4 linked regions of the Tamandua tetradactyla genome follow. The protein of the gene in region 4 purifies or fractionates together with the protein of the main gene of each other region. This does not show direct contact. Links are inferred from orthologs where the notes say so. Each region holds a gene or a part of one and is shown on either strand. Other genes may lie near its edges. The genes, in order: ARHGEF1, ARHGEF11, ARHGEF12 and GNA13.

Region 1 (7,969 bases), on a different chromosome or scaffold from region 4:
AACCGTCATTGGGCCACTGGCTGCAGCTTCTGGGCCAGACAACATTGCCATGGGATATGGAAAGTCTTTGCTCAGCCCACTTAGGGATAGGAAGGCTCCAAAGCAGCAGGAGGACCCCAAGGGGGGAAGGAGTGGATGCACAATATCTGAGCCACTGATTGGTACCAGGCCCCAATTCAGGTACTCAATACCTATTATCTCTTTATTCCAGAAATTCAAGTACTCGACACCTATTATCTCTTTATTCTAGAAAGGACAGAGAATTATAGGTTGAAGCTGTTAGAGGACAGATGCACCTACAGGCATCTGACAGGGACTGGGGCACAGCCAAGCGGATGCTGCATGTTTGGGGGCTCTGGAAGGTCAGGCACGTTTAGATCCATAGGGATGAGGTAGGGGTGGGGATGGTGGTCCTACAGCAAAGTGAGGACTGATGGGGGACAACATGGAACCTGGGTTCTCTGCAGGAGCCAGTGTCTATAGGATATTGAGATGACCCATGTGGTTATGTGTCCTGTCAGAGATGGGAAAATCATCACTGGGCCACCAGCTGTGGCTTCTGGGCTGGACAACATTGCCATGGGACCTGGAGCATTCTTGCTCAGACCACTAAGGACTAACTGTCCAAAATATGGGGTGGTGGGGACAGGGTGTCAAAGTAAGACTATAGGGAGCCCTGAATTTATAAGGGCCCCAGATTATATTTGATATCTATAGCAGTGGTTCTCAACTTGGGACGATTTTGCCTGCCAGGGGATTCTGGGCAATGTTTGGAGACATTTTTGATTGTCAATAACTCAGTGGGGAGAGGAAGGTACATGTGTGCTACTGGCATCTAGTGGGTAGAGGCGAGGGATGCTGCTAAACTTCTTAAAACGTAGTCCCCCGCCACCAAGAATAAACGGACCCCAAAGGTCAACAGTGCTAAGGTTGAGAAACTAGTCTATTGTCAACGGACAGGGCCTGGGACACAGCAGAGGGGGCACCTGTGTGCCTGGGGCTCTGGGCAGGTCAGGGCTGACTTAAAAGATCCATAGGGGTGGGGGCTCTAGAGCAAAGCAGGCTCACATAGGGGACCTCATAGAGACTTGGGTTTTATGTGGGGCTCAGGGTCTGTAAGATATGGAGCAAGTGACCCAGAGTTTCCAGGATCTTTGGGAGCTTTAAAGAACCCAAAATACAGAAGAGTCAAGGTGAGTCTATAAGGAATAAGGGGCCTTTGGAATGTATAAAGCCCTAAGATTCTATCTGACACATGGTGGGTCTACAGGAATCCGGGGATCATTTTGGGTTATAATTCTGTGGTTGAAATAGCCAGTCTACTGGACCTCTGGAGAGTTAAAGGGCACAGAATTCTAAACGGGCAAGTGATGCATCCAGAGATCGAGGGTCAATTGGGCCCAGATTCTAAGGGATGCTATTGATCTATGAGGGATCCTAACGTCTACCAGAAGCCGGGTCTCCATGGGGGGCTAGCAGGTACCGGAGGGTCTGTAAGACCTTGTAATCTATACGGAACGTGGCAGGTCTATGCCAGCCTCAAATCTTACAGGGGACGTGGCTGGTCTACTTGAGCCCTAAATCCTCTAAGAGACGTGGCGGTGTGAGCGGCTGGGGCATGCCGGGGTAAACGTACGGAACAGGGCTCTGATGTCCGCCGGAGACCGCTCCCCTCACCTGCTCGGAGTCGGAGAAGAAGCCGCCGCAGCTGCCTGAACCGAAGACTCCGCGCGCCGGCTCCAGGATTCCCCCCACCCCTGCCGCCGAGCCGCTCTAGCCGTCCCACAGGCCGCCTTTGCGCCCAGCTCCACTCCTCCCGACAGCCGTTCTAGCCCAGGTCCTGCTTAGCTCCTGCCCCTGCGACTCCACTCCTCCCGCCGGCCGCTCTAGCTCTCCACTGCGCCACGCTGGCCAGATAGGGCCACTCTGGCACGTCTTGGAGGGTTGGCGTTTCCGTATCTCGACTGCTCGCGTCACTCACCCGAGCCCCGCCCCCTTGCCAGAGGTGCGGATGGTTTCAGCCCGCGGGGTTGGAGCGCAGAGATCTCAGATTTCCTCGGCCTCTCCCCTTGGACTGGGGCTCCCCGACCTATCCTGCCTCCCCACTCGAGGACCACCTGAATTCCCGACGCCAGTACATCAATCCACCCCCACCCAGCTTTCCACTGGGGCTAGCAAGCAAAAATCCTGTTCTGACCCACCTTTGCCCATACCTTTATTACCAGGAAAAAAAAGTTATCACTTCTTTCCAGGCCTCAGTCTTCTCATCTGCGCATTGGGGGAAGGTCCCTGGCTGTCTCCTCTCTACCTATCTCCTAGAGTATAATTAACGACCCAGAAAAGAGCTCTCCAAAAACGCTTTCAAAAGCTTCACGGCGGCCTCTGGGTGCTATTATTGTTTTTCTTTATTAGGTGACCCTAAAGCATTCGGGGCTGGGGTGTGTGGGGGATGGGAAACGCTAAGCAGAAGGTACCTGCAAGTTCAAACCCCAACTCAACACGGTCTCAGGATGTGTGCGTCCTGGGGCGTGTCGGTTCTGCTCCCTGGGCCTCAGTTTCCCCACCCGTACAATAGGGGCGCTCATCCGTCCTTCACCTGACAGCTGAGGCCTTGACCCCGACCCTGCATCCCTCATCCCCACCCAGTGGGCACTGGGCAAGTAGTAGTTCCCCTCCCTTTGACCCTTTTGACAGGTGGGGAAACTGAGGCCCAGGGACGGGCGGCCTCTGGCTCCGTGGAGCCCTGAGGAACCGCGCCCTAGCCCCCCTCCCCACTTCCCCCTGCAGCGGAGGGGAGGGAGGCCGGGCGGGGCCGGGGACGGTGTACCTGGGGTCCGGCGGGGAGGTGACCGGCGGGGCGCCCGAGGTGGGGCTCGGCGATCCCGGGCCCTGCGTCCCGGCTCCCGCTTCCTGGCTCTGGCGGGGCAGGAAGTTGGGGCGTCTTTTCCGGAGGCCCCCGCCCCGCCGCCCCTCCCCGCTTCCTGCCCGTGCCCCGCGCCCGCCCGGCACCTCCGCTTCCTTCCCCTTCTCGCCGCCCCCCGGGGCCCTCCCCCGCGCTCCGCCCTGGGCCCCGCCCGCCTGCCAGCGGTTGTGTCTGTCTGGCCGTCTGGCCGGCCGCCGGGCGCGGCCTCCAGGTCCTCGTGTCTCTCGCCTAGGGGTCCGCCGGCCTGTCACCGGGGGTGGGAGGGGGTGAGAGGGGGCGAGAGAGTCGCCCCGCGCCGGCCTCGGGCTGAGCAGTGGCCTCCCTGGGTGCCGTCGGTGTCGCTCCGGTCCACAGCCCCGGGCTCCGCGCCTCCCTCTTTCTCGTCTTCTCTGTACATTTGTGTCCGTGTCTCTCCCTGTGTCTCTGCCCCACCCCGCGCCCCTCTGGGACTCTGTCTTTCTGTCTCTTTGTCTCCCTGCTCTCCCTGGTCTCTGCGTCACCCAAAGCACCCTCCTCCTCTGTCCCTTCTCCCTCAGGGTCTTTCTCTTTCCATCTCTCCCTCTTACTGGCCGAGTTTTTCTGCATCTCCATCCTCAGTCTGTCATTTCCGGAGTGTTTCTTTTCCTCAGGGTGTTGGTGGGTCTGTCTCTCCATGTCCATTCATCTCACGCCCCATTCTTTCCTTTCTTATCTCTTCGTGCTGTCTGTCTGTCTCTGTGCTACTGTTTCTCTGTCTCCTTGGTCCTTTCTTTCTCTTGCTCTGTCTCTCCCTGTCTTCAGTCCCTCGGGACCTCGTGTCCCTCTTGTCACTGCCCCTGAGTCTCCCTACCACCTCCACGACTCCCCAGAACCCTCTTCTGCAGGTCCCCCCAAGGTGAAAACGTGTGGCTGCAGTTGAGGAATTTGGTACTAGGCCCACAAGACGGTTCAGCGTGTTTGCTTAGCTGCGCACAAATATGGTAGCCTTGCCTTGCAGCGCCCCCTAAGTCCCTCCCTGCACATGGCCTGGGGTGGGACTTTAGAGGAGGACAAACCACCCCTCTCCAAGGCACTTCCTGTTTCTCTTAGTGGGTAACTAAGCTTGCCTACCTGCTTCCAGGTGTCAGGGGTGGGGAGGAGAGGGCTGGGGCCGGGACCCCTGGGTCTGAGGGAGGAAGGGGCCGGGGGCTGGACCCTTGAGACTGAGGGAGGAGGGGTGGTCCAGTGCCCATGAGATCCATGACTCCTGCCAAGGTCTGCAGTTGGAAAGGATTTATTATCACTAAGTAGCCATGACAGAGCAGTGGGTGGGGGTGACACTAACGAGGCTGCTACAATCAGCTCCCCCTGAGGCAGCGATTAAAGGCTCATTACCCGCCGGGGAGCCTGGGAAAGGAGGCAGAGGAAGGGGGGTGAGTTAAAGGTGTGTGGTGGGAATGAGGACAGTCTGCAGGAAAGGAGAGTCGACCACCCCACTGAGGGAAGGGTCTAGACACTGAGGAGTCCAAAGAGACCTAGGAGGGAGGACACCTCAAGGAGCAAGACGACACAGGAGCTCCCCGGAAGACGATGGAAATACACAAACGTTCCAGGTGGAAAGGCACTGACATGGGGAGCGCTGAAGGCAGGAGCGGCCCTCTGGGGTCACGGCTTCTCCAGCTGGACATCTCCAACGTGGAGGCTGCCCACGTCCTGGTAGGTCCCCTGGAGGCCCCTGGAGATGTCTTCATACATGGAACAGTCATCGAGGTTCAGGCCCTGGGGTGGAAGCGTGGCGTTGAGCACCGAGGTCCCTGCTCTGGCCAGCCCCAGGGAGCAGCCCTGTGCAGAGCCCCCCAACGCACCTGCCCCTACCCTGACCCCACCCTCCAGTCACCTCATAAAGATTTTCATCTTCATAGTCATCCTGGATGTCCACCCCGAACTTCTCGTTCTGCCACCGTTTCTGTCAGGGAATGGGGGGCTCAGTAAGCAGAGGAGGAGGCGGATATATTCTCAGCACCTCCTGGATGCGTGGAGGTGTTCTGAGTGCTTCCCTTTAGAGGAGGGGAAACTGAGGCCCAGACAGGGTGAGGATCACACCCAAGGCCACACACTGGGAGAGGATGTGGACTTTTTGGCTCTCTCCGTGGCCATTTTATTCTCATGAGCAGCAACACAATAAGACGGGGGTGGGGGTGAGGGGGTACTTGTGGCCTGTGGAGAGCCTGGGAGAAGTCGAGCCCCCCAGCCCCCATCTTCCCCAGCTTTGGCATGGGGGAGGTGGTCTGTAGCTTTCCTGGATGGGGACTGGAGGAGGATGAGACCCACTGGGTGGGTGAGGCAGAGTGCTGCACCCCTGGGATTTTGGGGAGTGAGAACCCTGGAGAAGGGGGATGTGGACACTTGGGGGGTAGGAGAGAGTGAGACACCCCTCGGGTGTGGGGTGGGGAGAGAGGGAGACACCCTGAGCAGGGGGATGGGTAAGGACACCCCGCCCGTGCCTGGCACCATTTCAAGTCCACACTAACTGAACCCCCGAGGCCGCAGTGAGGAGAGTGCTGGCGCTCTCCCCTTTCAGACAGGGCGTCTCGCTCTTGGGGTCCCCGGGGGCTCACCCGGAACAGGAGCAGCGTCCCAGGCACCACTGCGCAGAACAGCAGGATGATCCCCTCGGCCGTGATGATGCGGTTCTTGGTGCCCTCCGCCATGGCCAAGAAGGGTCTGGGGAGGGGCTCTGCGCAGAGGGGGTGCCACTCAGCGCCCCGGCCCTGCTGCCCTCCCCAGCCTCCCGCCCACCCCTGCCCGGCCCCGCCCGCCCAGGGCCCCGGCCTGGGGCACTCACTGCGCACGCGGAGGTAGGTGCCGCAGGAGTTCATGTGTGTTTTGTTGTTTTCCTGGACCCTGCACTGGTACATGCCGCTGTGGCTCTTGTTCACCTGTGAGATGGTGAGCTCGCCTCTAGGGCCCTCACCCATGCCCATGAACCTGGAGGGCCACGTGTGGTTGCTTTGGAGGATGAACCACCAGGTGACAGTGGTGCTGCTGCTGCTGCTGCTGCCGTTGTACAGGCACAGCAGGCGGGCCTCATCCCCCACGTTCACCGTCACCGACGGGGGGCCCGAGTCCACCCACAGGGCCTGGCACCAGGGGCCTGCGGAGAGGTGGGGGGTCAGGGCCCGGGGAGGGGCACTCAGGCCCCAGCCTTGGCCCCTGGGGCTGCAGCAGGCCTGGGTGTGGACACCCCTAGGGGAGGAGAGTCAGGGTACCTCTTGGCGGGGAGGGGGAGACACCAATGTGGGAGAAGTGGGAGGCTACATGGTGGGGGGGCGGGGAGTGACGATGCCTCTGGGAGAGCAGAGTAAGGATGCACTTGGGGTGGTGGGGGGTGGGGGGAAAACCCCCAGGAGTCCCCAGTTGTCTCTCTACTGCAATCCCTTGACCCCTCCCGACACCCTCCTTGATACTTTGGCCTCACTGGACTCGCTGTCTTTGGAAATCTGGCTCCTTAGCGGTTGAAGTCCCTTTGCCCAGATAGCTTCTTCCAGAATCGCTTTGGCATTTACCTGTTCCTGGAGGCCCTTCCTGGTCCAGTTTCCTAGCCCCAGCCCCAGCCCACTCCTGCACCTGATGCTTCATTTTGTGTCATCTTTATAGAACCTTCTTCCCATTTTACAGGTCGGACTGCCAGGGCCCAGGGAGAGCAGGCTGTTTGCCCAGCGCCTCAGGGGCAGTGAGGGGTAGTACTGGGCTTCGAACGCCTTCTTGGGCCCTCCCTGCCTGGGGCTGAGGAGCCAGTCTTTGGGCCCTGCCTTGCCGTGTGACCCTGGGTCAGTCCTTTTTCCTCTGTACCTTGTATGTGTCAACCTGGGGGTCAGGGGTGAGTTCAGTCCTTTGCTGGGATGGGGGTTAGTGGAGGGGCTCAGCGGGCTGGTTGACATGAAGGAGACGGGATGGAGGGAGCTAGACTGGCTGCAGTGTCTGTGCAGGGCTCCCGGGGCCCCCAGCTCTCAGCCTCCCCTGGCCAGACCACACTGCCGCTCCCCCCCCACCCTGCGCCCCTGCCATCTGGAGGTGGGAGGAGGCCTGGGGAGGTGAGGAAGAGACAAGGAGGAAGAGGCAGTTAAAGGGACCAAGCAACATCATAGTCACGGGCTCTAGACTCAGACAGACGTGGGCTGCACTCCCTGCTCCCCCTGTGCAACCTGACCTTGGGCCAGTGACCTCCCGTCTTCTGAATTCCTCTAGAGGTCAGAGGAGGCTGTCACAGGTCACAGTCCCTGCCAGCTGGCCTCGGAGGGGAGGGGAAGGGAGGCGCTGATGACTCCCATCCTCCCACCTCCACCCCCAGCACTTAGAAGGGGTTCCCTACGGAAGGGGTGTCCAGTGTTCAAGGTGAAAGGGGAGAGAGCTTTCTGGCCGCTCCGAAGCTGAGGGCTGCCCCCCCCCCCCCCCCCCCCCCCCCCGTCTCCTTCCTGGCCCCAGCCCCAGGGTGGGGCTCTGATGAGAGACCTTACTTCCTTATTTTGGCCCTTGAGCATGAGAGAATGGGGAAGGTGTCTTTCGCTTCTGCCTCCCTCCATGGAGCTGCAGACACCCCTCAACTTTGCTGAGGCCTCTCCAGCCTCCCCTCAGCAACCCCTTACTGGCTAACTGACCCCACCCCCCGCCCCTGCCCCAAGTGTTGGACCGACAGATGCATTCCTCCAGGGGACTTCCCCAGCTGCCCGCTCCCACTTCGCTCTGCTCCTCCAGCCTTTCCCGGGGTTCACCTCTCCGCCGCCCCCCGGCACCTGCCCCTGGGCCACATACCCAGGCCAGTGGTAGAGAAGAGGAGGAGGACGCTGACAGGCAGAGCTCCAAGGATTCCTGGGCCCCCAGGCATCTTCCCCCAGTGGGTCGGTCGGTCTGGGTGGCAGCAGTCCTGGGGTACCAGATCCCACCCCAGCCCATGCCCCGCCCTACTTCCTGCCCAGCCCAGCCGGATTTGGGCTCCACTGGTCCCCAGGCCTGGGCCCTCTGGCTGCTGGGTCTGGGGCAGCCCCCGCCGCCGTCCGCCCGGGACACCATGCACCAGGGCTGCAAGTG
Region 2 (7,794 bases), on a different chromosome or scaffold from region 4:
ATTTATTAAAGGATGCAATTTTCCAAAAAATTATCTTTGACAAGTATGGTTTCTAGTCATGACAGCCACTAACTTTTACTAAAAAGTATGATTTTTAAAAAGTACTTCATCTTTATTTTAAACTCTTAACATCTCTACTCTTAGGGCGTGTTTTATAGAGTACATAATTAAATGCCTGTAAGTAATTATTAACAAATACATATAGCTTCCAAAAACATGAAACAAAAGTTGATAACGAGAAAACAGATATATCCACAATCACATTTGGAGATTTCAGAAATTCTCTCTTAGCAGTTAATAAAGAAGGCAAAAGACAAGCAGGGATATAGAAGACAGAACACTTCCAACCAAACTGGACTAGTTGGTATTAGAACAGCTCACCCCAACAACAGGAGAATACACATTCGTTTCAAGTACACAGGTCATAAAACAAGTCTAAACAAATTTAAAAGCACAGAAATCATAGGGATAATATTTTCTTTATATAAATTAAATTAGAAATCAACAATAAGATACCAAATATTTACAAAATATATATAACTTAAACTTCTAAATAACCATGGGTCAAAAAAACATGCAGGAAATTAGCATACTGGATCTAAATAACAGTGAAAGCACAACCTTAAGGAATCAGATAAAGCATTGCTTAGAGAGAAATTCTTTTCTATTTAAATATAATAGAAAAGAAGAAATATTTAAAATACATTATCTGAAGTTCTATCTTGAAAATAAAAAAAAAGAGAGAGAGAACAGATATTACACCTATTAAGGGAACATGGTAAAGAAATGTTTGGCAACCACTGGTCTATCCCCATAAGAGGAAGTGTTGACATTTGGAAGCATCATTTTTGCAGGTAGTGTGAGGAGGGAAGAAACAGTAAAGCGAGTAGGAATTTGGAACGTGGTGACCAACAGTTGGGCAGACCAGTTATCTTTGGGGGTTCTGGCCTAAGGATTGGGGGAAAAGGGATGGAGGCAGCAGGTCTTTCATTTATTTGCCAACCCGTCCCTGACATAATTTAGGTGAAATTCCTAATTCAGAGTAGATCTTCAGGAGGGTTTTGATTTCTTTTTCCTCTTGCTATTTGCAAACCTATTAATTCAAACACTGCTGGGGTCACAGTCCGTACGGTAGGTAAATATACATATGTATATATTCCTTTCAACCCCAGTCAAAGTGGTGTGAAGAGCAGAGACCCTATGCACACATGCCACTAACAGCCGGACCCTGAAAACCAGCACCTCCCTAGGCCAGAAGTCAAAGTTCACTCTCCAGTCCTCACCAAAGTTTTCTATTTATCTTATTTTTTTAATCACAGCGCTTGGGACCTTCTGACAAATACCCTGTTACTTCGATTTAGAAACCATGATTCTAGCTGAGGAGGTTATGAAAACAGATTTGTCCTGGAAAGTCTTTCCCATCGAGTTCAAATACGTTTCACACGGTCCGGTACTAAGATGCCAAAACCAGCCGGAGGGGCATCTGCTAAGGGTCTTTCTTCCCGTGTAGTCGGTGCGTGTTGGAAGTGGGGGGAGCCACGGAAACGAGGAGGGGGGAGTTTAAAAAGCTCCTGGCCACGCAAGGAGGCCCGATAAATTCCTTAAAAATAAAGATGAGAAAAGCGGTGGTGCGAGGGTGAGCTGAGGACCTGGGAGAGCAGGGGTGATGCCGATGAATGCAAAACGGTAAAACCCGAAGACGTCGGGGCGGGTCTGCGGCTCCGGGCACCGCGGCCGGCGGGGGGGAGGTCAGGCGGGGATAACAAAGCTCGGGGTGCGGAGCGCGAGTACCTACGGGGAAAAACGCGCCCGAGCGCAAGCGGCGAGGCGGAGGGAGGGGCGGCGCGCGGTGCCTCGCGGGGTCCGGACGGGGGTCGCCCGCAGGCCGGGCCTGGAAAAGCCCGGGATGTGGCTAAGCCGGGGGGACCAGCTAGGCCGCGCGGGGAGGCGGGGCCGGCGACCGTGAGGCCGCGGCGGGGACCGACCGGGGTGCGGCGACGAGGGCCGAAGGGGGAAAGGGCGCGCTGAGAGGTCGGGAGCGGGGCCGGCAGACGAGCCCTCGAAGGAGGGAAGGGCGGGCAGCTTCTCGGCCCGCGCTCCCGGCCCGGGCGTGAGAGGAAAGGCCGGCGGGCCGCGCCGCGAGGAGGAGGAGCCTGCGGCCCCGCCCCCCCGCGGGAGCGAGGGCAGGAGAAAGGCTCGCGGGGAAGGCCGAGCGAGGGGAGGCGGGGAGGGGGCGGCCGGCCGGGCCTGCGCCCGAGCGAGCGGCGAGCCGAGGGGGAAGGGGCCCGGAAGGAGGCGAGCGCGGCCGCGACGCCGGGAGCCGGACGCCCGCCGGTGCCGGGCCGCAGCCGCCGCAGCCGCCGCCGCCGCCGCCGCCGCCGCCTTCCCGGCTTGCGCTCGAGCTTGGAGTCCGGAGCGGCCGCGAAGGCCGGAGCGAGGCGGTCGGTGTGAGGCAAGCGGGGCCGGGAGCCCGAGGCCCGGCCGGCGGTCCTGCGCCGAGCACGGTGGGCTCCAGCCTGCGAGCTGAGGAACGGGGCGGAGAGGGAGGAAAAAGCGAGGCCGAGAGAAGCGAGGCGATCGGATTTTCCAGGAGGCTGGTGGGAGGAGAGACCTTCCCCGAACTCAAATCCACAATAATAATCCCAACTAATAATAATAAGGGAGCAGTTTTTCTGGCCGGGCGAGAGGGAGAGAAGGGGGAACGGAGGAAACGAAATCGCCGTTTCATGGAGGCTGAGGCAGGAGAAAATTTCGGAGCCTGGATGTGGAGGAGCAAAACAGCAGAACTAACTCAGGAAATTGTCTTTCAGAAAAAGGCTGAACCTAAGCTGGGTCTGAGAACCAAGCTGGGGTAGGTGGAGAAACCTGCAAGTTTAAAGGAAAAAGAAAAAGAGAGAATATTTTCAGAGAGTCTCTGTTTTTGTGTTTATTGCTTCCATTTTAAAGGTTAAAAAGCACTGCATTTTAACCTTTCAGGTGTTTTTTTTTATTTTTTGTGTGTGCGATTGGCTCATTTAAGAATTTCAAAGCATTTAAAGTGAAAGATCTTTTTTTTTAAAAAAAAGAAATCTATACATTTTTGGTTCCTAAGGTTGCACAGGACTTGGAAGGAGTGCTGTTGTATACATACTATTGTATGGGTTTATTTATTTTTTTTACTGTGCAAATCAGCTGAGATTTCTTACAAGTGCCAATTCGGATTTATTCATCCTTTTTTTCCCCCCCCCCTCTCTCTCTCTCCCTCACATATATCCGTTGTCGTCGTTTTAAGCATTGGAGACCAGAAAATTTGTTTTTCTTTGGAGCTTTAGGCTCCCTTGCCAACAGAAGGACAGCTGGGAAAACTGGATTAAAAGGATGGTTATCTGTATTTTACAGTTAAGACTGATATTTTGAAGTCACATTCTTTCTCTGATTCATTTTTTAGCCCATAGCATTAACCTTGAAGAGATTTGTGGTTGGGGTTTTGGTTTCTAAGAAGGTCGTAGTTTTTCCTCTTTTCCTTTCGTTTTTTTTTTTTTTTTTTAGGAGGGGGAGGGGTAGCGGGGGCTAAGAAAGGAGACCATGTTAACTGATATAAGTAGAATGGAGCTTCAGTTACCAGGGTCCTGAGTGCTGGAGGAAAAAAAGATTCAGTCTTCAAGTTGGGAGGGCCTCCTCTCACGTTGCTTAAAAATTGCAAGTGATTCAGTCCTGTTCAAGACACCAAAAGCTACAGGATTCTGGAACCGTGGAGACATCAAGAAACCATGAGTGTAAGGTTACCCCAGAGTATAGACAGGTAGGTTTGCTAATAATTTGATTTTTCTACACTTACTAAAAGAAAGGCTGGTTGGGAGGGTGTTGCATTTTGATAAAAGGTTACAAAAGAATGGTCTGGGTGGGCTATGGTTTTTAGAATCTGTGGGGAAATGTTGACATAGGAGCATTGGGTCTCTTGGGCCTCTCTGGCATTTGTGTTTATGTTCCCTCTGTGTGTGTCCATGTTCAAAACATACCTTTTGATTCTGTGTTTTAAAATACAAGCCATGAGCAATGAAACCAAGGGAAAGGAGAGACAGGGAAATGCTTTTAGGTACCTTTGACTTGCCAGGCTAGAGGCTGAATTTGGGTCCCCATCTTGCCAAGTGTAGGAGGCAGACGGAAGCCTGGTCATGTGGACTGGGATTGGTTTTAGGTGTTGGAATTGCTAGGGGAAGGGCCCCGGCGGCGGGGGGCGGGGGGGGGGGCATGTGTTAGAAGAGGTGGCTTCAAGTGCAGGCCTCTATCAGGCTGGTTGTTAGGGAATGGTGGGGCTTGTGGATGGGATAAATTCCATTTCTAGAATGAAGAGGATGTTCTTGGACTAAATGATGGTACAAGAAACACCCTTTGCACCTAGACAGGCCTGTGTTTTTACCAGCCGCCCCAAAATGCATAGATCATTTTAAGATTTCTTTCTTTCCAGGCTTAGGGTTTAAATTGAGACTTGCTAGCCAGCCAGTACTCTAGCTTTAATTTTCCCTGCAGTGTTGGATAAATTTGACTCTGCAAAACGGAGCTCCCCTCTGCTTAGAGGAGAAGTTGTTTGGGGCTCTGAGGTCTGATGGGCAGAGGTACTGGCTCCTTGGTTTCTTAGCACATAATCCCCTCCCCCGCCAAGAGTCTGCAAAGCCTCCTCTGTCACTGGTAATATATACCCTGTGTTTGTAATTCTTTGCTCCAAAGGATTGGTACAAACTTTGTAAAGTTTCTGCCTTTTCCTTGCCTCCCTTCTTCCTTGAGGATCTGAGATGGGGTGGGTGGGGAGGGAGTGGTTTGTAGGTGCTACACACATCCTACCTGAATAGATGGGTGCATAGAGGATTGAACAAGCGAATGAAAGGACTGGGCCTGGAAAAAAGTATTTTTAGAGAGATGGGGAAGAACATTTGCAGGGGAGCAATTGCTCTCTCTGAGTTAAGTTAACCTTTGGTTATCCATGCTCATAATAATTTCCTTTTGACTGTGGAATGTAGCCTAAAATGCCCATAATCTCTCCCAAACACTAATCTCTGTATTGCTTCAGAGTCCTGCTTAGATTAGTTCAGCAGTCCGCAGACAGGGATCTGACTTGGCAGTGGAGAGAAGGCAGACAGCTACAAAGGATATAATGTGTATGTGGCGGGTTTGAGCCACCTCCACTCCCTTCTCTGTCATTTGACCCTTGTAAAGGGAGACCTGAGACAGATTGAGGCAAAGAGTTAGATGGTTTACGTCTCCCCACTGGGAATTAGTGCACTTACCTTTTTTGAGATGTGGATGGTGAACTACTACTGTGAATTCAGGGGTGGGGCTGCAAGAAGGAGGAGGCAGTAAGGGTTCCTGGGTTGATGTGGGAAGCTCTTCTGGAGTTTATCTATCCTTACAGTCATCTCAGGATTTGTATAGCGTGGTGTGGTTTCAGAAGTGCTTTTATAGTACATATCTCATTTGACTCTCATCACAGTGTTTATGTGAGATAGATAAATCAAGGTTGTTGCCATTTTACTGAGTCTCAGAGAGGATACCTGACTTGCCCAGTACCATCTTGCCTGATGAATGGCAGAAGCTGGACTCAAACGCAATTCTGATTCTGAACCCATGACTCCTTTTATTACCCCACCCTGAGTAACTTGATTCTTATACTTGTCCTGTACAGTGTCGGGGGCAGGAGGGTCGTCATGTAGAAACATGCGTTGTCATTTTATTCTCTCTCTTTGGCAGTAGGGGAAGATGGTCTTCAGCAATCAAGGTATTCCTTTACACTTTCTGTTTAGTAGTCTGGGGATAAAGCACCATTTTCTTCTGCGGGGTGATGTATCAATTGTCCAGTGAGAGCATTCCTCATTTCCACCATCTCCAAGCTTCTCTTCCAATTTATAGGTTTAGTTCTGGCATCCAGGTCCCCTTCCTTCTGGGTATCTCCAGCTGCATTGGATCTTGATCTGTTAGCTGTAAGCTCATTCTTTTGGACGCTTTGACATCCCAGTTTTATGACCCTATGGAGTTTTAAAATAATTGGCAATCTTACACCATACTGGGGGGATGGAGTGGGAGGAAATGTTACAGATTATGTAGTCAAAGATTCTCTTTTGGTTTGTCGGTTCTCTTTGTATAGAATGTAGTGTAAGGTGTTATAAGAGTGCTTTAGAAAATTAAAATATATAGTTCCTGCTCACAAAGAGCACATAATATAATTGGTGACCTAGGAAACACAAGAGACCACATAATACAACGCTAGACTGTAATCTCCATGAAGGCAGGGACTGTTTGGTTTACTTTGTTATATCCAATGTGCTTAGCTCAATGCTTCACAGGTGGCAGGTGCTCAATAAATATTTGACAAGTGAATGCTGGAATGAACATGTGAGCAAGTATAAATTCTTCCATTTCAGACTGTTTCAACATTCGTGAGTTAATTTCAAATATAGTTCAATAAGGTCAGTTAAAGAAGGCTTCCAGATGAGGTGCATTTCCTAGAAACTAAGTGACAAGTTGAGGACCCTGTATATGGGGAGGTATTGTGGCTCAGAGTAAAGAAGGCTTTGGAATATTTATTTGACAGAGTTTTTTTTTTTTTTTCAACTCTGACTTCTGGGTTCATAGAAAGCATTAATTATTAATTATGGCTAGTCCTTATATTTTAATCATACTGAAAGATGATAGGCTAAAGTGTAATTAATTAGTGTCCTTTCACATTTTGTCCATGGACAAATTTATTGCCCACTAATATATTTTCCTTTCAAGAGTTTCTCAAACTGTGTTTGGTATTACAAACAGAGATATTGTTTTTACAGGAGTGGTCATGAGTTTCACTTATTTGTCTGTATACAGGTGTCTAGTTCCTTATGTTAAATGATTTTGAGATGGCCAATCTGGTTATGTGTTTTGCATCTATGAAACAGCTTTTCTCTGTGCAAAGTTAGAGAGTTTATGTGAAGACCAGACCACACAGCGCCTTAGAGAAGTACTAGATTTAAGCCAAGAGTTCTTGATTTGAGCCGTGGCTTTACCCTTTAACTGTGTGACCTTGGGCAAGTTACTTTACCCTCTCTGGCTCCTAACTGTGAAGCAGTGGCTCATTCATGCAAAGTACTTTCCAGTTTACAAATGTTTTCATATAGTGTCATTTGAAGATTATAATATTTATCCCACCTTTCTCATGGAGCTGTTGGAAGGAATGGAACAAATGAGATAAAATATTTCAGATTGCTTTCCAAACCATAAAACTCAGTATAAATTTTAGAAGAGAACCTCACGAACCTAATTTAAGCTTCATGCACTACTTTGTAGCCCAGAACAAATTAAGGAGGCTAAAATATCTTTCCCTTAGTTTGAAAAATTTAAGGAAAGTAAACAGACTTTATGGATGCAAGAGTGAATGGGGTTAGTAAGAAAGAATACTATTCCAGTGGTCAGGGTTGGGTGGTGATACCAGAAGAAAAGTGGAAGGTTATTGAATCTCCTTCCTGGGAATTTTAACAAACGAGGGAGACTTCAGCTGTCCTTAGCTCACTTAGATGTCTTTCAGTGATGGGGATGGAAAGGATTTGTTCTGGCCTTTCCTTGTCTTAGAAGCATGACTTTACTAATTCAAAATAAACCCAGACCCAGCAATTGTTCTCTATCAGAGAACTGAGATCAAATGTAACCTTTCCCCAGTCTACAGCCTTTCTTTCTATGGAAGGCAAAATCTCACATCCGGTAGTGGGTGGGGAAGGGAGGGGAATGAGAGGCCTGTCCTAGGAAAGAGCTCTCAGGCGGAGGGAAAGATGGGTAGAAAAGAGCTGCAGA
Region 3 (7,322 bases), on a different chromosome or scaffold from region 4:
CATGCCTGCTGTGTTAACTCTTCACTGCACAAAAACCATATAGCTAGGGCTTTGGATGTGAGATGAATGTGGTGTGCGCAGATTTACTGAGTCCAGTTGTACAGGTTCTGCCCTACCAGGAAAACTGTATGCCAGTTCTCAGGGCTTTTGTGCATTAATCTCCTAGGCATGAGAGGCTGTGACTAAATTCCATAGGGATTTACTATGTGGATTCCACTGTGCTTGAGATGGCAGTTCAGGTTTCAGCTTTGCTGTACATATTGCAAACGAGAACCAAAGACTTTAAAAAGTATGTACTGGCCTCAGGGGGGAGATGAAGCTAATGTTTTGTTGTTGTTACTTCATATATTTTCCTTTTTAGTCCTCCTCTTCTTATTTCTCTCTTAAAAAGGTACCACTCTCTTTGGACACATTATTTTGACCAGGCCAATCTTGGAATAAATAAAATATATTTCTTAGAGCAATGGTCTATAATCACACCTTGGAAAAGCGAGAATATAAGCCTAGAATAGGGGGTAGAAATAAAAAATTCCTGGGTTCTTTAACTAATTTTGCTACTCACTCACCAGATTATTTACTCTTTGCCTCAGTTTAAACCTTTTTGTGAGTGAAGGAAATATCCCGGCATGTATTCATAGAGACATTGTGTGGCATTTTATTAATGGCAGTCTTTAAGTTATGACTTTTATGAAAAAATGAAGTATTATGTATGTATTTATTTATTTATTTATTTAACTATGTTATGTAGACCAGTGAGTGTCTGACTAGCTCAGTTGGTGAGCAAGTGTGTGGTGCTTATTGAAGTCAAGTAGAACGTCAGTCCATTCCATGTCACAGAAATACTAAACTAATGAGTGTCTTGAAAGTGGATGTTTGTATGGTTGGCCATAGAAACAGGCATGAGGGAGTGGGTGGAATTACACAAAGTCATCACTGCTATGGGAAAAGCACCTTTAAAGGCATATTAACAGTGGGTCTTTTTAAATGATTGCCATTTGGTTAGAAAGTTTTACTGGGCATTGACACAATCAAACAGATGGCATCTGTGCATCTTATTTCTATTATCAGTATCCCTGAGATGCTGCTGAGCTTCCTCCCAACAAAACTGTGGTCAGCCTAGAATGCTGGGAAGTGCTGATTTTAGCAAAAGCCTAGTAAAAAAAGAGTGGCTTGGTACATGAGCTTAAAAAAGAAAGAAAAAGAAAAAGCTGGCTCTTGAATTTTGGCACAGTGCAACCTGTTCCATACCAGACAAATGAATAGACTTAATCTGGTACCAGTTCTTTTCTCTTGACTCTTCAGAAGCAAAGGGATAGCAGATCTTGCCGTTTTGGGGCACTCTCATGGGAAAGTACCTAGTGTTTTTTTGAACCATGAGAAATCTGAATACGAAAAAGGGAATCCCTCATTTCAGCTGTTCTTGACATTGTGGCTAATAACTATGAAGAAACTTCTCTGAGAGAAAAAATGTGAAATGAAGATGACTCAGCAGTTAAAATGCTGAGTTTCTGCACCACAGGTAAATGAAGGGCTAATTAATCTATGGTATGGTTGGACAAAATGAAGTACTCATTTGCATTTGGATTGCTATGTAATAATTATTGATACTGCCCAAGAACGATTTATATATAAATAAGATTTGTACTAAATTTTATAAAAATAAACACATTTAAAAAATCAATTCAGAAGTTTTTATATCTTTTTTGTGGTTATACCAAGAAGCAAAGAAAAAAAATTTCTGACTTTTTTTTGCAGAAATATTGACTCATATTCATACTTCTCAGTGAAATACCTCTTATCAGTTGTTATCGGCAGCCATTCCTACTATTCTTTATTTTAGGGAGCAACAATCTACATATTGAAAAGTTTGTCAAAAGAGAGAGGAAAAAATTTATTTCTTGTGCTGCCACCTGACTGCCTTGAGAATAATAATGTGGAATGAATTCCTTGAAGACAGGGCCTGTGGCTTTCTTCAGAACTGTACTTCCAATGCCTCCAACAGTATGCAACACATAATAGGTACTCAACAACTATGTGGACAGAATGGAGAAGGCGATGGGAATGTGGTTTAAAATAATCCCCATTGGAAAACCTCCTGAAAGGGAATGCCTGGTGGCTTGGGTCATCAAGGTCATTTTTACCCCCGGAAAGGACTCCTTGACTCTGGGGAGTATCTTCTAGCTAAATTGACTCTTCTGAAGAAATTCTATAGATAGAGCCTTTAGAACAGTCAAGAGCTATAAACAGCTGTAAAGAGGCTTTCAAGGGACATTTTTTACCATTAGAGCTTCATGGATGAATATAGAGATTTTCATCATTAAAAAAAAAGTTCTGGAATGAATAACCACTGGCTTAATTAAATCCTTTGCTTACCATCTTCTGAAGCTTTCCCACAGCAAAATGCCTTCTTTGCTCACAGCTAGAACTTTGAGTCTGTTTAAGTTTGGAAAGGTCTTGAAAGCAGTCTGCCAAGAGGTTTTGTATGCAAGGAAGAGAAGGTGAATTAGGAAACTTTCCCAGTTTGTTTTATTCCTGAAGCTCAAGTATTGAGGTATTCTTGACGGGAAGAGGGGAATTCATTTTTAAAATGCATGATTGATGAGTCACTGGGAGCAACTAATTTGACACACTGTAAAATTTTTAGTTTTAAACGTATTCAGTACATTTAAGAAAGAATTATTAAATTGGACATAAACTTTGGATTTTGGTCACTGTATACAAAATGGATGGAGCTCATTCGAATTATGTGTAATATACAATTTAATTAGTGTCTTCAGATAGAATTGTCATCTAGGAAACACCAGCAGGTGGCAATGTGTCTTGGTCTGATCATTAGGAAAGTGGCTTGGAACCCTAATGTGCTTCTATTCTTTCCAAAAATAAACATTACAAAATTAGCTGGCTGTGCCTTGAACTTAAAAAAAAAATCAAGCAATAAAGAGTCATCTTTGGACTCTGTTTTGTTTATCTTTTCCTTTTGGTTCCCCCGTTTTAACGTCACCCTTAGCGAATGCATCTATTCAGGGATAATAATCCTTTCATGAACTTTGTGGAATGACGTTTAACAAACATTGTTAAGAAGTAATTGTTTCTTCTTTCCACATCCACTGCATATTAGATTTGATTTGCCACTTGATTTCCACAAAATGGCTGAAGCCACTCACCCACCAACTTGTCTAAACGTACAAGTCTGAAAATAGTTGAGTAACAAGGGCAGTACTTCAGACGTTTGAAGGCAGAATTAAAGAACTATATTATATGTTGCTGTTAAATTGCCACAATACCGACTTATTCAAACATAAAACTTGGATATCTAAAGCTCTGTCTCCAAACGGTAGGGGGGAAACCCCAAAGAATATTTGGGAACTCTTCAGAGAGAATAATAATGCTATTGGATATTTTTTCTCTCTCATTTCGTCTCACAATAAGCTTGTTAAATCATAGTGGAAAGCATTATGCTTTCTCAGTTTGGCAAATAATACATTTCATTTTGCCAAGGCAGAAAAAGCCTAAAAACAATATTTATCCCAAGAAATCCTGGCTTCAATTTCCAATTCCAGTCCCTAAGCCCCACACCTGCCACCTCCCACCCTAGGCAGCCAGGACTTAAGCGCCACGGCCCCTCTCCTGGGACGAGGGCAGCAGGTGCTCCAGGTGAGCTGCCCGCGCCAAAACCTCTCTCTTGGGGTTACCTTTAGGGGAAGAGGAATGGGATCCGGGATGGGCCCATCGGTCAAAAGCATTCTATACGTGTTAGAGAGTAAGGAGAACAAGTACATTCAATTAAGGAACAGAAGTTTCTAGGTCAAGGGCAGAGGGGGTGGTAAATTCCAAAGGCAGACCCTCATCATGAACTCCTAGGGACTGGGAGAGTTCTCTTTGGAGAACTCTGGTTAAAACTGAGTTAATACACGCTCAACCCCGACGCACAGCTCTCCGGCAGTAAGGGGGCGCCGGGGTGGGGGTGACGGTGTGTTAGTTGGTGGAGCTCCTGTGGCCTCAGGCTTTTCACCTTCCTCCGCCCCGCAGGACTACTTTTTCGTTCCACCAAACAAGGCTCTGGCGGAGGCGTCCGCGCGGGAGCCGCGCGAAGACGAGACGGTAGAAGCCGCGGAGGGATCTCGGGTGAGGTGGCTTTCCGAAGTCCGAGGGCAGCAGGCCAAAAAAGTCGGGGAGGAGGGGGTGGGCGTGGAAGGGAGAGAGCGAGCTCGCCTGGACGGGGCTGGGGCCAGGAAGGCCGAACCGGAACCGGAATCCGCGCGCGCGCCTGCAGTTGTCGCGCGGCCCCCCGCGGCTAGTGTCCTCCTCCTCCTCCGCACTCCGCGCGCGCGCCCGCGAGGGCCCCCGAGACCCGGCGAGCCGGCCCTGTGAGGGGAGTCGCTGCAACTCGCCCGCCCGCCCCCTTCGCGGGCGCTTTCGGGCCGGACCCGACAGGAACCTCCCGCCCCTCACGGGAACCGTCGCCTCTTGGAGCGTCGGGGAGGAGCCACCTCAGCCGACTGCGGAAGATTCCGGCCGGGGAGGGATGGGGAGCAGCCTGCGGCGCTGAGAGACACAGGTCCCTGTCATTTCAGGCCGCGGGACCCCCTCCCTAACAGCACCCGCTGCTCGTCACAGCGCTCGGAGCCTGGTGGGGGCGGTGAGGAAGACGAGAGGGGTCCCTGCCCCGGGGATATGGAGCCCCGTGAGCCGGGTGCGGGACTGCCCGAGACGCTGCAGAAGCTGCAGCCAGGAGCCGCCGGCAGCCCCAGATAGAGACCTGGGCCGAGAGGTCCTGGCCCGGCGGCGGCGGCGGCGGCGAGTTTGAGACCCCAAAGGAGGAACCGACTCTCGTCACTAATCCGATCCCTCCCCAGCCCGGAGGGATTCCTGGGTCCCCTTCCCCGCGGCTCGTGACTTCCCTCGGTGACGAAGTTTTTTCCCTTGTGCCTTCCTGAGGATTTATCACTAGCTTTAGAACTCGCCTTCTGGCAGACTTTCTCGGTTTGTTTGGGGAGATAACTTGTTTTGCTCCAGCCTATATCTACCCTGTCTTTGACCCCTTCCAATCGGATGCTCTAGATGACTGAATGGAGTTTTGAGTTGGACTTTTGTGTCCCTGAAGGAGTTGGGCCTGATCCCAGAGCACTGGGGGTGGGGTGGAGGTGTTACTGTAAAATGCAAGTTGGATAAAAGGAGCACCTCTCGCCAAGGGCCCCAATGAGTGGCACACAGTCTACTATCACCGACAGGTTGGTATGAAGCTCCTCCTGCTCTTAGTCTCCCGAGGTTCGGCCCTGCCTACTGCCGATTGCCTTTGATTAGTGAAATTGACAGGCGGGTTGTTCGGGAGCTATGCAAATAATTTAGGGTTGCTGCCGAGTCATCCGGTTGATTAAATTTGGAAATGTAGTTTTTCTGGAGAGAAACTTCTCCAGATTACCTGTAAAGCTATAGGTAAAACCGCGAATGTGGTTTTCTGTCTGTAAGTGCATTAGAATCTGTACTCAGTCTGAAACCAAAGGAAGGTCATTTTAGGTGAAGGTCAGTGTCTGAAGTCGGCTGAGTATTGGTTTTTCCTCAGTTTTAGTCCAATCCTGCAGTCTCTAGACACGTTAATTTTAGGAATTTCGATTTGTGAAGTTAATTTTGAGTTGCTGCATGGTGATTTATGATTTTAATCTCTTTTAGGTGTTGACCTGCATAGTGTTTACTTATCTAATAATTTTCTAGAATGTTAAATTTACCAGTACATCCCAGGCTCTTGCTGGAGGCACGATCAAGGACTGGGGGGGTGGGGGGGGGGGGAGAGGGAAAATCGTGAGACTTTATTTTAATTATTGAATTCTAATATTTTCAGAAACATTTGTATTTAAGGGATATAAACCGTAAGGTAATTATGTAGTACAAGCATGGCAGGTAGATTTGTTAAGTTGTTTGTCTTTTTTAGTACCTGGCTATGTTGCGTTGTTATATTTGGTGAACAGAGCTACACCATAGCAATCTGAAGGGGGTTTAGAGATATAAGTATATTGATTCCTTTATCACACTTTATTTCTCAGTTTAATTATGAGACTGTATCCTGGACCCAAATATCAGTCAGCTTGTTGTTGTTTTAAGTCAATCTTTAAACTATTACATCATTAAAAAGAATAGATCAGGTAACTGAGAGGCTCTGGTTTTTAAAAACATTTTGATGTAAAGTGCAACAATAGAGTACCTCCAGAAAGCACATGAATTTACTAATAAGGGAGTTTTACCCAATTGTAAGACTCACTTGTTGATTTTAAAAGGGCCAAATTCCATTATCATACCATAACAGCTATTCCAGAAACAGAAGAACTTCCTCTTCCTGTTGATGCTTTCCAGTGTCATGTGACTGTTCACCTAAAAGATTCCATTAAAAACTTAAACCATCTATTTGTTCCCTGGTTGCATATTTTTAAAAATGGGTTTTATTTTTCAATAAAATAATTTTTTGCAGAGCACACAACAGAAATAGCAACAATGCTAATCTTATTCTTTTCTAGTTGTCCCCATTCCTCAATTATACAGGGTGTTTTGCTTTTGAGAAATCACTTTCACGGGTTTTTGGGTAATTGTTTTCCTGGATCACTCAGTTCTTGCCCTTTCTGTTGAGTTTGTAGACAGAAGGTCTTATTAGGAACTAGTAAGTTCCTAAGTAGCGTTGATAGTTTTCATTGCGGTGCTAGGGGCATTTAATTTTGTGGAAACAGAGCTTAGTGCCCCCAGCTCCTTCCAAACAAAAATCACCAAATGCCCCCCCCCCCCCGCCCCCCAAGTAATGGCCTTTCTTCACCTTTGCTCCCCAGGGCTTTTCTTCCTATTTCTGTTATCTGGGAAATAAGATCTTGGGATTTGTGTTCTTTTTATAACTCACTAGAGGTATAAGCTTGAATAAACATGCAATTATTTAGAGCCTTTTTCTGTGCCAGGTAGTGTGTGAGGCACGAAAGATGGAAAGATGAGTATTCTAAGTATAAGATGAAACTGCAAATTGTTTTGGGTATTTATAGCTTTGAAACTGGTTCAGGTGCTGCTGATGTTCCATATTTTTTTAAAGGAAACAAAAACTTTTAATTAAGCACTGCTGAGAGTATGAATACCTGTTTCTTAGGAATTTATTACGAGTTTTTTTTTTTTACAAGCATTATTCTTATATGATCACTACTTTTCCTCAAAACATGTCCTTTCTGTAAATATTGATCATCTGTTTGCTCTTTAAAAGAGTAGTTGTCCTTGACTTGACTTGCATATACGTTGGGGTGAAATTTGGAAGTATTGGTTTAGTATTATTTATGTGCCAGGGGGCCTTAACAAAG
Region 4 (7,687 bases):
TTGAAGGATTTTAACATGTTTTAATTTATAAAACTTAAGATTTCTGGGGTAGAAGGTGATCACAAGGGAACTAAAACCAAGGAAGGAAAAAAATAAATACTGCCGGGCCTGGTGTTCAGGCTCTTAAGAAAAAGGCTACAACCAGAATTTTATGAGCCTAACCAAAAAGACATTTATTTATGAAATGCCAAGGACCCAATCATTATCACTCTGCATTCTATTTGTTCCCTCAGCACCCTGTCTACCGCAACACTGTGTCTGCTGGGAACAGAAAAAACTCAGAAACTTCTCCCAAATCAAACTTCAAAATACTGTACATCACAGAATGGTCTTTGGAATCTCTGAAAGGAAGACTCAACTACAAAATGAGATAAAAATAGGGACTGCAACTCACTGAGGTTTGTTCAAACCCAAAAGTCAATCACTAAACTGTTACTTATTTGTCCATCTTCACAGTCACATGCCTATTGGAAACCATTTTTTGGGTATCTAGAAAACTATTTTTCTGTCAATTTTCTGATTATGCCAACTCAACAAAACTAGGTGCCTTCATCACCAATGCTCAAAATCCAATGCTCATTAAGGAACCAGTTATTTACCTGGCTCTAGATCAGTTAACATGTTGACTCTGCTCATTAGCATAATTCCTTAAATTCAGCTGCACCAGGATACAAAGATACCTTCAATTAAGGAGTGGTAAGGCAGACAGTCTGTGGCCTTGAAAGAAACCTTAACTAGTCTTGTGCTAAACTTTAAGCAGGGTTAAAGAGAACTGCTCTCACAGTGGTCTGTACACTTTCATGCTCCTCCCCATTCAGGGAGTTCTTCTTTACTAAACCCTTGGAGAAAAAAAATGACATGAAGGAGTTGCTTAAGTACTTCTTGAACATCCCACTTAAAAATTTTTAAAAAACCGTTTCAAGGCAGGCCATGGTAGCTCAGCAGGCAGAGTTCTCACCTGCCATGTTGGAGACGGAGACGGGGGTTGGATTCCCAGTGCCTGCCCATGCGGAGGGGGGTGGGGACCACAAAATGTTTGAAAAGCCCCCAAATCTGTGGCAAACTCCTAGATAAATGATACTCAGATAAAAGAGAAGCCTGATGCGCCTTAAGTACCAAGCTCTGTGACTCAGTTTTGTCCTAATGCTTTTTATGCAGAAAATATGTGATTCTAAGAAAAATGAATGCTAATTATTTTCAAATGGCAAAAGAAAAACATTCTTCCCTAATTCTCTTAAGTCCAGAATTAAAAATTTTGTGCCTTTTCCACTTAAGGACAAATTTTAACTTTTTAATTAAAAAGATACAGTCAAACAGAAGCAGAACCTGTAACCCAACCTGAGACTGATCTTAATTTAGTGACTCAACCTGTACAGAATCCACATCCCTTTTTCTAGGCCAAAGACTCTTTTTTGGGGGAGCAGATAAAACTTTAATATCACCCAAACGTTAATTTCTAATCCTTATTATATAAAAATATTAGACCTTCAAGTCTACTATAAATATTAACTAATACTTAGATAATATATAAAATATATAAAATAACAACAGTCTTCATTTTATATAAGAAGCATGATCAGTCTCTTTTCTTACTTTTCAACCCTACTTATCAAACCAAAACGGGTTCACAGCAAGGGCATCTTAGGCCAAAGATTCTTAATATTATCACTCAATTTCACTTAATTAGGAGAAGCAATTGATGGTACACTCCCCACTTCCCCCCACTTAACAAAAAACCAGTGTGGAACGTGTAGCACAGTGACTATGGGCAAACATCCTGCCCGACCGTGACAATGCGGCGAAAAACCACGGATGTTAATTTTTCAGAGGTAACCGTATGGATCTACCCTTTCCTGAATCGAACACAGAGAAAATGACACCCTTAAGTATCAAATGCTTTTCCAAAAGAGACCGACTGGCTGTCACCCTTCGCCCTTGACAAGAGACTCGGATAAAAGTTTTCTTCTTGCAACGGTTCCAGAAGTCCCGTGGCTCAGAAGGCGGCCTAGGCAGCCGGGGGTTGGGCGCAGACCCGGCCCATGTGACTCGGTCACCCACCCCGCGCAGCGAAGTTTGCGCTGCAGGACCTGCGGGGGTAGGGGCGGGGTGGGGGGGGGGGTAGGGTCTCATGCCGGCTCTCGGGTCTTCCAGCCTCATCTGGAGGGAGGAAGGCAGACGAGGTCACCATGCACCCTGAGACACCCGCTCGCCTGACTCTCCTCTAGGAGGGAGCAAAGCTAGCGGCGGGATGGGGGGGGAACGGGTCGTGACCCCCACAGGGGCAGCAAGGGGGAAAGCGGGACGCCCCCCGGGGATCCCCTCACCTGGAGGCGAAGGAGTCCCGGGTGGACACGACTGGTACCCGGGGCGCGCCCCCTCCCCGCCCGGGCCAATCCTGCGCTAGGGACCGAGCGGGAGAGGGCGGTGGCCGGCCCCGCGCAGACCGCCGCCGACCTCAGGCTCGGCCCTCAGTCCCCGGCCCCCGACCCCCGGCCCGGCACCTTTGATCACGTTGCTGTAGATGGTGGGGCGGAACTCCTCGCGCGCGCGCTGGTCGAAGTCCTGCCCGTGGATGATCCGCATCTGCTTGAGGAAGGTGGACTTGCCGCTCTCGCCCGCGCCCAGCAGCAGAATCTTCACGAGCCGCTTTACGTAGGTCTTCTCCCGGGACAGGCATTTGTCGATCTCCTTGGACTTGCGCTGCTGCTCGGCCTCGCCGCTCGTCAGCACGCAGCCTGGGAAGCACACGGACAGCACGGACCGCGACGGCAGGAAGTCCGCCATCTTGCCGCCGCCGCCGCCGCGGCCGCCTCGGCGGGCCCCTCCGGCTCCCTCCACCTCCTCTTCGGGCGGCGGGCGGCTCCGGCACGGCGGCTGGAGGGCGGAGAGCGCTGCGGCGGCCCGAGCGCACCCGGGGAGGGGAGAACGAGCAAAGTGATTCGTAGGGCGGGCCAGGCAGGGAGAGGGCCGGGTGAGCCGGGGAGGGAGGGCAGGAGGGCGGGCCCGGGAGGGGCGGTGGCCCCGGGGCGTACGCGCGCTCGCTGTCTCCCGGAGACGCGCACGCACGCTGCTGCCTCTTTCCCGCACCCTGACCGAGACGTATGAGTCACGCGCTCGCTGGCTGGCTCTCTCGCGTGCCTGCGGCCGCCGCCCGGCGCGCGCGCGGAGGCCGGGAGCTGCTGTCACGTGGCATCCGGCTGGGCCGGGCGGCTTGGGGCCCTGCGTGCGCCTGCAGAGCACGACTTTCTGTTTCCCTTTAATTAACTGCGTGCACTTAGGGGCCGAAGGGTTCCTCCCCCGAGGCCAGGCGGCCGGGGCCTGGTCACTGCCTTTTGGGCTCCCCCTTCTCTTCAGCCATCTCCGCCGCCCTTTCTTTCGGTTACGTGCCCACCGCCTGCTGTCACCGTTCCCATGCCTTTTTCGAGGATACTGACTCAAAAAAATTACCCAAACGGCGGGCGAACACACCTGGAAGTCTTGGGGGTACTTTTTTTCCCCCGCGGCTCAGTTGACATGCTGCTCTCGCAAGCTCAGAACCATAACCAGAAGTCGTGTTTATTCCATCCTCTCCTCCCACCCCACACCCCCGCACCCCTGCAGGTCTTTGTGGCATTCTCAGACCTCTGTACGGGCCCTCCTTTAAGGAGGAAGAGCTGGAGTTGGTGTTAATGTGAGAGGCGTTCGGAGACGTGTCACTGGTGTGGGTTCCGAGCTGCGCCCCGACTGCGGGCGCGCCGGCCGCGCGGGAAGCTGGACGGCGGCGGAGGGTGAGGTCATGGTGAAAATCCCCCTAAACCGGACACTGTCCTGCGGGCGCTTCCGACGAGGAAACAGATAAGCAAACAGACGGAGGACAGGAGCAGGCACTTCGTAGGTTTCCTGCTAGATTACAGAGGATGTGACCAGCCAAGGGGCTTTTCTGTCCCAGCAGATTCGGAGCAGGACACCTGAAAGGACTGCTGGGGAATGAACCTGGCGAGTGACAGCTGGGCTGGAAGAGCGACTCACCTAGCGAGGACCCTGGAAGCCGATTCTTACTGTTTAGTTTCAAGTGGGAAAAGCCGTTTTACTCTGCCTCTGCTTTTGGCAGCGCAACGCAGTGCTCCTTGGTTTGGGTTCCTGTAACAGGGGAGCTTCCTGTGTGTTAGGGCGGTGGGGGGAGATGAGAGGTGAGCGTGCAGAGAGGCTCGCGAGCACGTGTAATTAAAAAATAGGTGCTGATCATTTACTCCTGGGGTTGGGTTAATTACTGAGATGCCTCGTGACTCAGTAAACTAGCTGCTGTGAACAATGCTGGTAGTAGAATGATCTCTGGTTGTCCTGACCAACCCCAGAGGGTGGACGGTTTACGATATGCAGTCACCGCCTTCTTCTGCAGGTTGATAGGGTCAGAATCCCTGGGCAGTGCAATACCCTACACGGGGTGGAGCTCTTTCTAGGCTCCAGAAGGCCTGTTCTCCAACCAGGAAGGGCCTAACGTGTCGCCCCTGACCAGCACAGAGTCAGCCCCCAGGCACCATTCCTGCTTGGACTACAGGTGCAAATCTGGAGTCTTCTTCAGCTGAGACAGGAGGAGGGAAGCCTATACATTAGATACACTTTTTTTTTTTTAATGTGTGCTATGTAATGAAGAACAAAGAGTACCTAGCAGGCAGGAGGTATTCCTGCCCAGCCAAGTCATGTTGTGACAGGTAGAGTAACAAAGAAAGCTGTTCAAAGCCCTGATTGTAGTCTTCCCATGGAACAAGCCTGACTGCCCTATTGGTTTGTTTCTGAAAAAGAGACCTCTTTGGGCCCAGCCTGGGCTTTGGCTTCAGCTGTCCGACTGCCTCTTAACTAACTGTCTGGTGATATTGATACCTTGGAAATTTTGAAAATAAAAATGAGTTAGGGAGTTGGCAGTTCCTCAAAAAGTTCAACATGGAATTACCATAGGACCCCACAATTCCATTTCTAGGTATATACCCTAAGGAATTGAAAACAGTTGTTCGAACAAAAACGTGTACACAAAAAAATGTGTATAAGAAAAAAAGCGTACGTGAAACACTTTTTGCAGTCGCCAAAGGGAGAAACAACCTAGTTGCCCATCAGTAAAGGAATGAATGGGAAAACAAAATGTGGTATATCCATATAATAGAATATTATTCAGCCATAAAAAAAGCAATGAAGTTCTGATACATGGGCTACATGGGTGAACCTGGAAGACATGTTAAGTGAAAGCAACCAAACACAGAAGGCCACACAGTGTATGATTCCATTTATATAAAATGTTGAGAATAGGCATTTCATAGAGACATAAAGCACATTCACATTTGCCAGGTGCTGGGGTTGAGGGGAGAATTGAGAGTGACTGCCCGATAGATACAAAATTTCCTTTTGGGGTGATGAGAGTGTCCTGGAATTAGTGATGTTGGCTGCACAACATTGTGAACATACTAAATGCCACACAATTGTGCACTTTAAAATGGTTAAAAAGGTGAATTTTGTGTGATGGGAATTTTACCCCAATAAAAGAGTGTTTGAGAACAAATAAATATATTCCATAAAAGAAAAGTCATCGGCATCATTTAACGTTGGAATACATACTATGTGCAACTTCAAAGAGTGAAAGTTCCATTGTGTTTATTTTAAAAATAACACTAATAATTGTTTGCGCCAGAAGCAAATCTACTGTAGCAGTCACTGCAAGTTACAATATAATATTAGTGACATTTTAATTTTCAGATAGATTTGTTTCATCACTGAAGAAAAATCCAGATTTTTAAATGGTGTGTAGAATCTATGGGTTATAATTGAATATACTGGGCACTATATTTCCAATAGACCCAGATGTTAATTCATTAGAATTATTGTTTCTATATTGTTTCTAATGAATATTATTTATAACATATAAATTTATAAACATATAAATGGTTAGTCAATTTATATGCAGATGAGATATTCAGATGCCCTGTGGAGGTGTGAAAAAATTCCTCCTGGAATGGGTGGTTAATTGCAGGGCTCTTCTTCCAGGAAACACAAAGGCTAGTGGCACTCAGTTTTGCAAGAGAAACATTGGAAGGTATGACTATAAATACATTTCCAAGCAGCTTTCTCCTTTAATGTTGTCACCTTATGAAGGCGCAAGCCCTTTCCAACAATGCTTTCAATTCTTGAAACCCATTGGTCATTCTTTTCAGTTCTAAGGTGGAGTCTTCTTCAGCTAAGACGGGAGGAGGGAAGTCTATACATTAGGTAAATATCTTTTTACTGAAAGAAAAACATTCTTCCTACCATATAGTCATAGCTTATTTTCAATTTTAAAAAGTGACATTATGGAACTTATTTACCAACCCTCGTGCTAAATAACTTGGGCTGTTTACAAAAATCAGAATTAGCCACGAAAGACAAAAATCTGTCACCCTCAGACATATTCAGAATAATGTGCCAGAGGCTCTAGGAAGGATTCCAAAAGAGAAGTTTAAAAATATCTGAATGATGAGAAATAGAATTTAAATAAGTGTTTCACTTGCCAAGATGACTTGGAATGGGACAACACCCATTTAGATATGTTTATTTAAAAATCAGTCACATTATTTGATGATTAAACCTTGTGTTAATTTTCTAATAAAAATAATGACACATCCAGCATTCGTATTACGCCACTCTCTTCTGTCTCATCATTAACATAAAATAGGTGGATTCTAGTCCTTTCTTACTGATAAAATAGGCATGAACCTCATCCTTTCTTCCCTTCTAGGAAAGTAAGGGAATTCCCTGGCCCTCTCATAATATAAATCCCTTACATTAGTGTAATGTTAATAAAACAAAGCACTTTGGCCTACTTTCCTCATTCTCTGCTCACAATAGCCCCACGAGGAATTGTAAGCTTTAGACTCGCTCCCTTTTGACACACAAGGAAGGTAAAGAGGAGTTTAAACATCTTACTCAAAGCTTTACTTACCAATAGCAGAGTGAGGACTGGAACCCCCACCTCTTGACTCTGAGTCAAGTGATCTTTCTGATATACCAGTATGGCCAGAATGCCCAGGTGTTAAAAGTTCAAACTTGAGACGCAAGTAGCTAACCCTGTGTAAGCACGAGGCAGCATAGAGTCCAGCAGTTGTGTTTGTTTCTTTTTGTGTCGGTTATTCCATCTCCTTTTGGGGTGAACACCACCTCGGGGCTCACACCAGTCCTTAGGCTGATCCTGGGAAGATATTGAGTACTTTGAGCTTAGCCTCTGGGTTGTAAAATGTTCCCAGGTGGCTGATAAAGAACTGAGAAGAGAGGAATCCCACTCTGGCAATATATACATGATATGCAAGTCCCATACGTTCTCTTTAATGTGACTTAAGTTTGAAAAGGCAACCCTTTTTTTTTGTAATGAAATCTGGGGGTGCTCTTACCAGAATAAGTCTTTCATGTGGAGCGTTTCGGATGAAACTAGACATGTGGAATTGAATTGTCGGTGGTTTTTTGTTGTTGTTAATAATGGAAAACATGACTTTAATTGCTGGTTGTATTTTTCTCAGCCTCTGTAAAAGATCTGTGAGCTGCTGTTGACCAGCTGTGACCTCAACTCAGCTGAAGTCAGAAGCCTGGCCTGTCTTGCAGACACATCCTGCAACTCATATAAACCCTTATACCCTGCTTACTGCATCGGACCCATTTATGGGCAACTATTTACATAACACTAACGCAAGGC

The links.
Region 1: the proteins of GNA13 (region 4) and ARHGEF1 purify together in Homo sapiens (affinity purification with western blotting; 5 studies listed by BioGRID and IntAct, with this or other methods). This does not show direct contact. The link is inferred for Tamandua tetradactyla from reciprocal best matches to the Homo sapiens genes GNA13 and ARHGEF1.
Region 2: the proteins of GNA13 (region 4) and ARHGEF11 purify together in Homo sapiens (affinity purification with western blotting; 3 studies listed by BioGRID). This does not show direct contact. The link is inferred for Tamandua tetradactyla from reciprocal best matches to the Homo sapiens genes GNA13 and ARHGEF11.
Region 3: the proteins of GNA13 (region 4) and ARHGEF12 purify together in Homo sapiens (affinity purification with western blotting; 3 studies listed by BioGRID). This does not show direct contact. The link is inferred for Tamandua tetradactyla from reciprocal best matches to the Homo sapiens genes GNA13 and ARHGEF12.

Annotation. Positions count from the first base shown.
Region 1 is NC_135342.1:21,590,529-21,598,497, reverse strand, and holds the start of ARHGEF1 (rho guanine nucleotide exchange factor 1), read right to left. Parts: upstream 3,011-7,969; 5' UTR 2,828-3,010; intron 2,814-2,827; exon of another isoform or gene 1,678-2,813; intron 1-1,677. Other genes in the region: CD79A (B-cell antigen receptor complex-associated protein alpha chain), read right to left, coding at 4,547-4,660, 4,779-4,847, 5,500-5,618, 5,727-6,035, 7,694-7,766. UniProt on the Homo sapiens protein: Seems to play a role in the regulation of RhoA GTPase by guanine nucleotide-binding alpha-12 (GNA12) and alpha-13 (GNA13) subunits. Acts as a GTPase-activating protein (GAP) for GNA12 and GNA13, and as guanine nucleotide exchange factor (GEF) for RhoA GTPase.
Region 2 is NC_135330.1:10,069,342-10,077,135, reverse strand, and holds the start of ARHGEF11 (rho guanine nucleotide exchange factor 11), read left to right. Parts: upstream 1-4,794; 5' UTR 4,795-7,794. UniProt on the Homo sapiens protein: May play a role in the regulation of RhoA GTPase by guanine nucleotide-binding alpha-12 (GNA12) and alpha-13 (GNA13). Acts as guanine nucleotide exchange factor (GEF) for RhoA GTPase and may act as GTPase-activating protein (GAP) for GNA12 and GNA13.
Region 3 is NC_135334.1:20,292,656-20,299,977, reverse strand, and holds the start of ARHGEF12 (rho guanine nucleotide exchange factor 12), read left to right. Parts: upstream 1-4,322; 5' UTR 4,323-5,199; coding exon 5,200-5,231; intron 5,232-7,322. UniProt on the Homo sapiens protein: May play a role in the regulation of RhoA GTPase by guanine nucleotide-binding alpha-12 (GNA12) and alpha-13 (GNA13). Acts as guanine nucleotide exchange factor (GEF) for RhoA GTPase and may act as GTPase-activating protein (GAP) for GNA12 and GNA13.
Region 4 is NC_135332.1:8,914,114-8,921,800, reverse strand, and holds the start of GNA13 (guanine nucleotide-binding protein subunit alpha-13), read right to left. Parts: upstream 3,002-7,687; 5' UTR 2,785-3,001; coding exon 2,502-2,784; intron 1-2,501. UniProt on the Homo sapiens protein: Guanine nucleotide-binding proteins (G proteins) are involved as modulators or transducers in various transmembrane signaling systems.